3 linked regions of the Saccharomyces cerevisiae S288C genome follow. The main gene of each other region encodes a partner of the protein of the gene in region 3 in a complex. Each region holds a gene or a part of one and is shown on either strand. Other genes may lie near its edges. A codon is read from its position in the direction of its gene.

The links.
Region 1: the proteins of SWD3 (region 3) and SPP1 are in contact, whole or in part, in a cryo-EM structure (PDB 6BX3), measured with the Saccharomyces cerevisiae proteins. Residues at the interface, in NP_009734.1 of Saccharomyces cerevisiae: Thr49 (codon at 1,410), Leu50 (codon at 1,407), Ser85 (codon at 1,302), Tyr86 (codon at 1,299), Gly87 (codon at 1,296); in NP_015187.1 of Saccharomyces cerevisiae: Lys206 (codon at 1,066), Leu332 (codon at 688), Arg336 (codon at 676), Gln339 (codon at 667), Gln343 (codon at 655), Glu346 (codon at 646).
Region 2: the proteins of SWD3 (region 3) and SET1 are in contact, whole or in part, in a cryo-EM structure (PDB 6BX3), measured with the Saccharomyces cerevisiae proteins. Residues at the interface, in NP_009734.1 of Saccharomyces cerevisiae: Lys15 (codon at 1,512), Thr52 (codon at 1,401), Ser53 (codon at 1,398), His54 (codon at 1,395), Ala55 (codon at 1,392), Arg56 (codon at 1,389), Pro57 (codon at 1,386), Ser59 (codon at 1,380), Glu60 (codon at 1,377), Asp75 (codon at 1,332), Asp76 (codon at 1,329), Phe77 (codon at 1,326), Thr96 (codon at 1,269), Ala97 (codon at 1,266), Pro98 (codon at 1,263), Ile100 (codon at 1,257), Met116 (codon at 1,209), Asp117 (codon at 1,206), Ala136 (codon at 1,149), His137 (codon at 1,146), Ser138 (codon at 1,143), Glu139 (codon at 1,140), Tyr159 (codon at 1,080), Asp182 (codon at 1,011), Trp183 (codon at 1,008), Glu186 (codon at 999), Asn187 (codon at 996), Val190 (codon at 987), Gln194 (codon at 975), Leu209 (codon at 930); in NP_011987.1 of Saccharomyces cerevisiae: Lys812, Ala813, Gln817, Ile818, Leu820, Asn821, Leu824, Phe825, Asp826, Ser827, Gln830, Gly832, Ser833, Ser834, Phe835, Lys836, Ala837, Glu838, Phe840, Arg841, Lys842, Lys848, Arg944, Trp950, Lys986, Asn987, Gly988.

Annotation. Positions count from the first base shown.
Region 1 is NC_001148.4:290,747-294,064, forward strand, and holds SPP1 (Spp1p), read right to left. Parts: upstream 1,682-3,318; coding exon 620-1,681; downstream 1-619. Other genes in the region: UME1 (Ume1p), read right to left, coding at 1-305; protein phosphatase regulator GIP3, read right to left, coding at 2,071-3,318. UniProt on the Saccharomyces cerevisiae protein: Component of the Set1C/COMPASS complex that specifically mono-, di- and trimethylates histone H3 to form H3K4me1/2/3, which subsequently plays a role in telomere length maintenance and transcription elongation regulation.
Region 2 is NC_001140.6:344,371-348,128, reverse strand, and holds the start of SET1 (histone methyltransferase SET1), read right to left. Parts: upstream 2,087-3,758; coding exon 1-2,086. Other genes in the region: ORC6 (origin recognition complex subunit 6), read left to right, coding at 2,501-3,758. UniProt on the Saccharomyces cerevisiae protein: Catalytic component of the COMPASS (Set1C) complex that specifically mono-, di- and trimethylates histone H3 to form H3K4me1/2/3.
Region 3 is NC_001134.8:580,687-583,961, reverse strand, and holds SWD3 (Swd3p), read right to left. Parts: upstream 1,555-3,275; coding exon 607-1,554; downstream 1-606. Other genes in the region: ECM31 (3-methyl-2-oxobutanoate hydroxymethyltransferase), read right to left, coding at 1-242; UMP1 (Ump1p), read left to right, coding at 1,790-2,236; SMY2 (Smy2p), read left to right, coding at 2,590-3,275. UniProt on the Saccharomyces cerevisiae protein: The COMPASS (Set1C) complex specifically mono-, di- and trimethylates histone H3 to form H3K4me1/2/3, which subsequently plays a role in telomere length maintenance and transcription elongation regulation.

The sequences.
Region 1 (3,318 bases), on a different chromosome or scaffold from region 3:
AACGGTTCTGAAATGCTTTCAGGTTTTTTGTAATGAAGTCCGAGTGGCACTATACAATCCACCTCAAAGATTTCACTCCCTTGAGAATATAAAAGTGGTACGCTCAAAACACCTTTGGATTTATTACATGAGCTATCGTTAGTGAAAACTATACTCCTAAGTGTCGATGGAGATTCGTCAACGCCTGAGCCAAAGATAGGCTTCAAACTTGAAATATGTTGGTATAATGAGGGTATTGATTTTTTCCAAATTTTGAATTCTTCATTTTTTATTTTGTTGTCTTCTGCAATATCTAAAGTGCTCATTTTAAGTGATTAAAGAAGGAAATAAATACGATACTGAAGGTATGCGGCTGAGGAGTGGTGCTTTTTCATTCATTCGATCATGAATATACAAAGTATTGCTTGAAAAAATCAATATGCGCTTATTAAAATTTCGCAGCAAAATCGGCCGAACCCTTGCAAAACAGAGATAGCTCCGCTTTATTCACGTGAAATGGGGTCGAAATTGAAGACTATCCAAATAGGCGTTGCCTATGCAAGGACGCTCCAATTGATATATCATCACTACGAAGTATATATATATGTAGAAACTGATATTTGATTAGGCTCCAACGCCGTTACAAACCTCTTCTTAAAATTTCCTCATAGTATTGTATATTTAGTTGCTTTTTCCTGGCCTGTATCAGATGTTGCAACCTTTCTTGCATAGATTCTAAAGAGTCAATCTGCTGGAGGTATTGTTCCTGATTAGTAGACACCCAATCCAAATGTCTGTTACACTTCCACTTCGTGCATACCTCATGTATTTTGGTGGCTTCCTCATTACTTCCAAAATCTCTGACAAATTCTTCCACAGAGCAGGGTATTCGCTCGTATGTAGAACAATAGCCACATATATTTTTCCTAGCCCTACTCCTGCTGCTATTTTTCTTCTTCTTCCTTTTTGTCCCCTTGGAATCTTCTTTACCACATTCCACATGGCTTGCAGCATCATCGTCCAGCTTGCGCATTTCGGTATATACGTTGTCTAACCATCCCAAATATACTTCCAAAAGTTCTAGCTTTTTTTTGAATAATGGTAGCGATATCTCTTGAACCTCTTGCAGATCATCTTCAAGAGTTTTTAACGTCATGTCTCGTACAACAATTTGATCGAATATTTCCTTTTCGTCATCTGTTTTTACAACTATATTGTTATCAATGAAATCCAGTTGTCCAAATTTCTTGAATTTATCTATGTGTCCTGTTTGTTCGACCATTTTCTTGACGACTGCTCTATCCTCATCTGTTTTCAATCGCGACCAAATATCATTCACAAATTCTCTACCATGTTCCTCAGAACAGTATTTACTATCCTGTAAACATGGTTTGTAGCAATCACTTATCCTACATTTTCTTTTCCATAAGGTTTTTGGCAAGCTCCCTTCACCATTGATTATGGCGTCCTTATTCTTACCAGTAATCCCCGCTTGACAGTAAGGACAATAAAAAGAGAACACCAGGTCCTTAAACTGCTCAGGAATATGAAGGCAGGTGAAATGAAACCAGTCATCACAACCATCACATCCCACCATCAGCTCCCCATAGTCTGGCCTTTTACATATGCAGTATACGTCCTCTCCTGTAGTTGGATTTCTTTTTAAGGTGGAATGCGGTGGACACCATTGTGGTAATGACATTAGAAAGATAGGCTGAGAAATTATTGAGGTCGAAGTAGCCTTTTCCAAATCTCTTGTTTTTTTTCTTCTGATGAGCTTCGTTTACATTTAAAAGTAAGCATTTACAAAGCCCAATTGAAATTGTTCATATTTTACCCGCCTTGGGTTATATGCAGTGTCTAATATGTAGCCGAACATATCAATTGATTCTAAAGAGGTAAGCTTAATCCTCTGTGCTTTAATTCATCTTAAAAAGTTTATCTGTTAAGTCTATCGAATATCGCCAAATTTACTGGCGGTATATATAAATAAATATGGAAAATATGAAAGGTTGATAAAAAAAGTTTTATGCAGTGAAAAAAAGGAAGAAGAAAATGGATCCATCAGTGAAGAGAAGGATTCATGTATCTTCAAAGTCTGATTGACCTCTCCATCGACAAATTATTTAATAGTTTGTCATAGGTAGCAGTGACTTTGACTTCACAATTTGGGTCGTCAGTTGAGACTGCAGGCAATGTTTCTACGGATCCTTTATCGGTATTGGGCGCAGATACATCAGAATCCACGCCTGGTGTAAATGTCGAAGCGCTATTCTGAATGGATTCACCATAAATGTTCTCCAATTCTATGTTGTTGGAGTTAACGTTCTGAATCAAATCATCGATAGAATCAATACCTTTAGCCTTCATGATTGCCGATCTTAAGACAGCACCGGATGGAATTTTTGGTAAAATCTTAGGATTAGCTGGGCTAAATAAACTAGTGGTAGCAGTTTCATTGTTAGAAGTTGAAACTGAAGGAGATGAAGTTGACTTACCAGCTGTTTCTGTGTTGATAGGCGTATCACCTGATGCAAAAGGTGTCTGCCTTGTTGATTCATTTTCAGGGTATAAAGACCTCTGCTGCTGAACGAAGAAACCCCATTTATGTAGTTCACCTTCTTCTTCTTCCTGCTTTTTACAACCTACAGAAGTACTAGATGATGTATGCTTGAACACCAATGGTTTGCCTGTGAAAACGTCAATAGTTTTACCAGAATCGGTGGCCATTAAATGTGGTCTTGCTGTAATTACATCATTCTCAGGTTGTATTTTTTCTTCGGGAACATGGTATCCGGATTCAACGTGCTTCAATGCTGGTAATTTTGAATCTTCGCTGGAGTCAACACTTTCCTTCGAATCATCCCTGCTGGATCCAAGGACATCATTCAGATTCGGATTATGCGAAAACAATTCTAGTATATTGCATAAGTTTTGTTCCAAAAGGAGTAATCTTACAAGGTTTTCTTTTTCTTGCAATGGCAATTCACCTGATTTCCTTTTTTCGAACATAGTATCTATTGTATGCTGAACATTATGGTGCAAGATATGGAACTTTTCAATATATTTTTTCAGCAAATATCTCTTCGTGGTGTCTTTTTTGACCTTTGTACTCTTATCGCTTAACAAGTTCAGTTTTTCTAAAACACTTTCAGCGGTCATAGTTACTAAAGAGCCATCGAATAGCAAATCATCTTGCGAATCCAATTCATCTAACTGGAAAGTCGAATCCATGGTCCGTTTCATATTTCTCATCAAGCACAGTGCTATTCTTGATTGAATCTCTTCTGATATCAAATCATAGTCAAAATCTAAACCAATCAAGTTTGGAGAGTCTCT
Region 2 (3,758 bases), on a different chromosome or scaffold from region 3:
TCTTATCTGGAGCTTCTTCTTCCTCTTCTTCAGAAGATGAAGATGTCATATTTTCGTCTTCTTCATCATGTTCTTTTGATACGCGAGTGATCCCTTCATCGTTCAATGGGGTAGTTTCTTTGGAATCGGTTTCTTCGTTCAGTAAATGTGCCATTGGTTTGATACCATTGGATAGCTTTTTCCTCTTTAAAGAAGTATGATCCAACGCGAGTGAATTATGCCTTTTTAAATTTCTTTTATTAGATTTTGCATAGCCACCATATAAACCAAACAAATCAAAATCTCTTTTGGCTTCTTCTTTACGTTTCAATTCATCTTCAGCAATTTTAGATGCAATCTGTTGTCTCTTCTCTTTCTCCTTTAGTTCTCTTTTAGCTAACAATTCAGGAAAATTTGCATGGTCCAAAGCATCAAATACCGTAGGACCAATCAATCTCTTCTTAATATCAACATGTAAAGTCTTTTCCAAATCTTTTAATATTTGTTTTGCTGTAGCTTCAATGAACTCCTCTTTGGACTCGTATTTTATAGGTACATTTGTAGAATTTGAAGATGAGCTAGATTTATTGAATCTAGTTCTGTTTTGGAACCTAGGGAGAATGAGATGAAACTTTATTAGAATAGGAATTCTTCTGCTCCGAGACATTATTGTTAAATTTCCTGACTCTGCATTCGAACATGTTTGCGCATGGGCAATGTCATTAAAAATAATATAGATACCAGTTGGATGATCAATAAATTTCGCACATCTGTATCCCCTTAACTTGTATTTAAAGTCCTCAACGCAGAACCTATGTTTGGCAACAAATATTTTGGAGACATGTAAAACAGGTCTGTTATTAACTACCCCCAAGAGATCATATGGAATTCTTTTTTCACTTCCGGACGAATGAGATAATGTGTCTACCTTAGGTTCCTTGGGCAAGGTAATATCTTTGCCCTGTAATTCCTTTGCTTTTTCGTTTTCTGCTTCTTTCTCTTTAGCCTTCTTCAGGTTCTCTTGTAACTTCTGTAGCTTTTTGACATTTATTTCAACAAATTTAGAAATGATATTATTCAAAATGGAATGCTTGTTTAAAATCACTTCGAACTTGAAGCCCATGATAAAGCAACCCGAAGATTCGTGCTTTCTAACGGCACTAAAGGCTGCTTTTGCTGCATCATTAATTTTTCCATCAGAACTGGCATACTTTATAAGATAAACATGCAAAGGTAAAGCGCTATTAGGATCATTAAATGCTTCAAAATGAGAAATTTCTCCATACTTTTTAAAATAGTTTTTTATTGATATGTCTTGGATATTGGTTGTTGTTGAATCTTGCGCTGGATAGACAACTATTTCACATGAAGGGGGAGGCCCTAAGGAGTACCTGTCATAAGATATGCGAGGCAATAGAATTAGTGAGTTCCTGCATTTTCTGTGGGTTGCCACTTTTCCGCTAGTCATGATACCGTTTTCATTACGTGGGTCGGATGCTTTTATCTCCGGATGTCTGTGTTTTATTTTGAACTTAAACTGTCCATCTTGTAACTCTTTGACTACGTAATAACCTGTTTCAGAAAATTCTTTATCTGTAGCCTTCCACGAAAGCATCTTATCCTTATTGAAGAACTCGCCTTTTATGGGATCAAAATAATGAAACTTAGACTTCAAATTATCTGTGTTGTATCTCAAAACTGAAGGTGGTCTTTGTTGCAAAAGCAGAGCAGATTCTGTGGGAAGAGATCCACTCGAAGACGCTAATGTATTGTGAACATTGCTATTTGAATACCGTGATTGAGACATGCCCCTCCGACTACTGATGTCAGATTTCTTATTTACATATGGGCCGCTTTGGCTGTTGTTAGTAGCATAGTACTGTCGCGTACTTGCATTGTTTGAACTATGTGGGCGATCGTCATTATAGCGTCGCCTTGTACCATCATTATGGTTATAACGTCGACGTTGATTATATTGACTAGAATATTGTTGGTGAGAATGGCCGTTTGAATACTGATAGTGACCAGAACGCGAATATTGAGGCTGTTCCTGGGGTTGTCTGTATGAACCAGAAGACGCGTGTGCTCTTCTATAGTAATTTGACATTCTCTAAACGCAGAGACCTCTTATAAAGATTCAACAAATAAGGAATGTTACCTATGCTAGTCGCAACTCTCTCGTAAGTTGAGGGTTGCTAACAGAAAAACGATGAGAAGAAACTTTTGAAAAATATTGTGTGAAAGCAGCACGAAACAGAGTATGAAAAAAGAATGCGGGCGTCCGTAAAGAGCTAGAATCGCAAGTGTCCAGAATATGCAAGGCTTTCGAATACACTCCTCACGCTTCTCTTCAGCAAAAATCAACTCTTTGTGATAAAACTGTGTATTTCTTTGTTCTTTGCCGTTGTTTACGTTAGTAAGAAATCGGCATTGAAAAAAAAAATCTCACACTAAAATTGCAGAAAAAAGTGTACAATATCAGTAAATAAAATTGGCCAAAACAATACCATTAAAACCAGTCATGTCCATGCAACAAGTCCAACATTGTGTCGCAGAAGTACTTCGACTAGATCCACAAGAAAAACCGGACTGGTCGAGCGGATATTTGAAGAAGTTGACTAATGCGACATCGATTTTATATAATACTTCACTGAACAAGGTAATGCTGAAACAAGATGAAGAGGTTGCTAGATGTCACATATGTGCATACATAGCGTCACAGAAAATGAATGAAAAACACATGCCTGACCTTTGCTATTATATAGACAGTATTCCCTTGGAGCCGAAAAAAGCCAAGCATTTAATGAACCTTTTCAGACAAAGTTTATCTAATTCTTCACCTATGAAACAATTTGCTTGGACACCGAGCCCCAAAAAGAACAAACGCAGTCCAGTAAAGAACGGTGGGAGGTTTACTTCTTCTGATCCGAAAGAGTTGAGGAATCAACTGTTTGGTACACCAACTAAAGTTAGGAAAAGCCAAAATAATGATTCGTTCGTAATACCAGAACTACCCCCCATGCAAACCAATGAATCGCCGTCTATTACTAGGAGAAAGTTAGCATTTGAAGAGGATGAGGATGAGGATGAAGAGGAACCAGGAAACGACGGTTTGTCTTTAAAAAGCCATAGTAATAAGAGCATTACTGGAACCAGAAATGTAGATTCTGATGAGTATGAAAACCATGAAAGTGACCCTACAAGTGAGGAAGAGCCATTAGGTGTGCAAGAAAGCAGAAGCGGGAGAACGAAACAAAATAAGGCAGTTGGAAAACCGCAATCAGAATTGAAGACGGCAAAAGCCCTGAGGAAAAGGGGCAGAATACCAAATTCTTTGTTAGTAAAGAAGTATTGCAAAATGACTACTGAAGAAATAATACGGCTTTGCAACGATTTTGAATTACCAAGAGAAGTAGCATATAAAATTGTGGATGAGTACAACATAAACGCGTCAAGATTGGTTTGCCCATGGCAATTAGTGTGTGGGTTAGTATTAAATTGTACATTCATTGTATTTAATGAAAGAAGACGCAAGGATCCAAGAATTGACCATTTTATAGTCAGTAAGATGTGCAGCTTGATGTTGACGTCAAAAGTGGATGATGTTATTGAATGTGTAAAATTAGTGAAGGAATTAATTATCGGTGAAAAATGGTTCAGAGATTTGCAAATTAGGTATGATGATTTTGATGGCATCAGATACGATGAAATTATATTTAGGAAACTGGGATCGATGTTACAAACCACCAATATTTTGGTCACAGACGACCAGTACAATA
Region 3 (3,275 bases):
GTAATTGTGCTATCGTACCCCAATGAAGTCATCGCCAAAGAATCTCCGACTAAGAGTAAATCACAATTAGCCTTGTTAACCCATGTTGCAGTAATGAAGTCATACGCAGTACACATCGACAAAGGCGTACCAGTAAAATATTTGTTCCTGATATCCTGAATCGTATTATATTTGACAACGTTTTTTGCTGTAGAAAAAAATCGCTTAGAGGAGGTGCATAATTGTCTTTTCATTATATTCATATTGTGAGTAAAAATTTCCCTAATTTTATGGCAAGCTAATTTATTAACAAGACAGATGCTAGCTATCAATGCAGTAGGTAATCTGTACTAAGCTTTTGTATAGGCTGGTTTAAGGCGCGAGTTCTTCGAGATGTGAACACTTAATGTTGAAAGCTGCCCGAACTTCCCTTAGTAGTTTTTTAGGATATCTTACTCATCACGCAAGACAGCAGCAGTGAAAAATAAAAAAAAAAATTAGAATAAAGTAAAAAATATCTGGCTGAAAATCCGATCCCTTAAAACTTTTAAACGTCTATAATATATCTATATATACTCTTGTGTTACACCTTAAGGGAATGTCTGTCGTGTACATAACGCAGATTCTTTAAACCCATCTCCATAAACAGCAATCTCCATTCAATGCAAGGGAACACATTATATTACCGAAGCAATGTATGCTCATTACAGGGCTGCTGTGGTGATATAAAGAACCATCGAGCAACTGTAAGAGGCTTTTTGTATCAGAATTCCAACAATATATATCGCCATTTTCATAACCGCTGATCACCAAAGGAGTGGATCCATCTTCAGGATTTAAGAAGTCCATACCGCAGGAATGATGCAGTACGCCCTTTTCAAGAGGCTGAACCTGGAAAGTACGAACTACACAACCCCCGATGCAATCCCATATTTTCACTACACCGTCCAGCGATTTCACCAGGAGATATCTTGCATTCTCAGAAAACTTAACTTGGGAGATGGGTACCACACCATTTTCTCTTTTCCAATCCTTGTCATAGGTCAATGTCTTCAAACAATGGCCCGTCTCTGCATCAAAGATCCGTATGAGCCCGTCATATGAACCTGAACTCAGAATGGATGAATCATTCATGGGTACGTCCACCGACACAACTGCTTCTGAGTGTGCAGATATTGTTTTCATCAAAGACCCGTTCAGTGTGTCCCATATTTTGATACTTTCGTCCATTGAGGATGTAAACAGCAAGTTCCCCTTTCTATTGAATGTCAGAGATATCACTGGCGCTGTATGGCCGATAAAAGTGTGCAGCAGCCCATAAGATAAATGAATGATTTCCACAGAAAAATCATCCGATGCAGTAGCTATGCACTGTCCATCTGGAGACCAGCATAACTCTGAGAAAGGCCTGGCATGTGATGTGACTAGTGTTTGTGATACAGTTCGTCTGTTAATGTCGTATATCAGGATGTTAAGTCCTTGTGTTATAGCAAGAAACTGCCCATCAGGAGATATTTTCGCACAAGTAGCTTTCAATCCATTCTGTGTTCCCACAGGAGTAACAAACTGGAACATGTTAGCATATAATGGCCACTTGCAAATGAATGAGCCTACGCTCAAACTTTCCAATATCTACCGCCAGTGATGCACAAGCATTTCTTATGGTCTTGCTTTTTTCACTCCTCGGGTAACCATGCAGTGGCAATTTTATCCTACCTGAGGTTATTAAAGTATATTATGTAGTTTCCTGCTCACTGGAGAGGGAATGAGTATTAAATAGACAAGACCAGAAACAGCCTGCATACCAACTATGAATATCGTCCCACAAGATACCTTTAAATCTCAAGTCTCTACAGATCAAGACAAAAGTGTTCTTTCATCTGCAGTGCCCTCCTTGCCAGACACATTACGCCAGCAAGAAGGCGGTGCAGTACCTCTTTCCACACAATTGAATGACAGACATCCATTAGAATCAACATTGAAGAACTGGGAAACCACACAGCGCCAAAGACAAATGGAACAGTATCGACAAATATTTGGCATTGCCGAACCAATGAAAAGGACGATGGAAATGGAAATCGTCAATCGTACCGACTTCAACCCCCTTTCAACAAACGGTAGTATACACCGTGACATACTACTGAACAAAGAGTGCAGCATCGATTGGGAGGACGTCTACCCTGGTACTGGCCTACAAGCCAGCACCATGGTAGGTGATGACGTCCACAGCAAAATCGAAAAACAATTAGGCATTTAAAAATTGCTCTCAATTTCTTTATACATCTGTCACGTAAACCATTGAAAAGATTAGATTAGTGCCGTAATACTTATACTACATAGTTGTGCCACACTATATTTTTAGTGTCCTATATAGTCCGCAATTACCCTATGCCTTTTTTTCAGTCGCACTGAAAAAAAAAAAAATTTTTCATATTTCCACTTATAGGTTGATTTGATTTGATGGGCCTTTTGGAACTTTTCACAATACTACAAATACCCACACACGCAGTTCAGTGGTCTCTTCGAGTTCATCATTTCCATTCGTACTCCTTGAGCTTTTACCTTCCTTCCTCCTCCCCTATATACTCAACTTCTCAGCCCACATCAATAATGATAGCACCAGACTCGCAAAGATTATTCGGTTCCTTTGATGAACAGTTTAAGGACTTAAAACTAGATTCAGTCGATACAGAAAACAATAACACACACGGTGTTTCTACTATCCTGGATTCCTCCCCTGCGAGCGTTAATAACAATACAAACGGTGCTGTTGCTGCAAGCGTGAATACAGTCCCTGGATCGACGTTTAGATCCAATACACCTCTTTTAGGAGGTCGACATCCACTCAGTAGGACGTCTTCCTTAATCGATTCTATTGGTATACAGCGTGCTGCGTCACCATTTTCTTCTATGAAAGAGCCTTTTATTCCTCAAAGTTCGGGAGTAATGAGTTCCTCTTTTTGGCACGGCGACCATCCTGAATCACGGGTTAGTACGCCTGTTCAGCAGCATCCACTATTGCAAAGAAACGAGTCCTCCTCCTCCTTTAGTTATGCTGCTAATCTTGGAGTGAATCTGAGTACACATTCATTGGCGGTAGATATTACTCCATTAAGTACACCAACTGCTGCCCAATCTCATGTCAATTTGTTTCCGTCCTCTGATATTCCTCCTAATATGAGCATGAACGGAATGTCACAACTCCCAGCACCAGTTTCAGTTGAATCCAGTTGGAGGTACATAGACACGCAGGGACAGATTCATGGTCCATTTACTACCCAAATGATGTCACAATG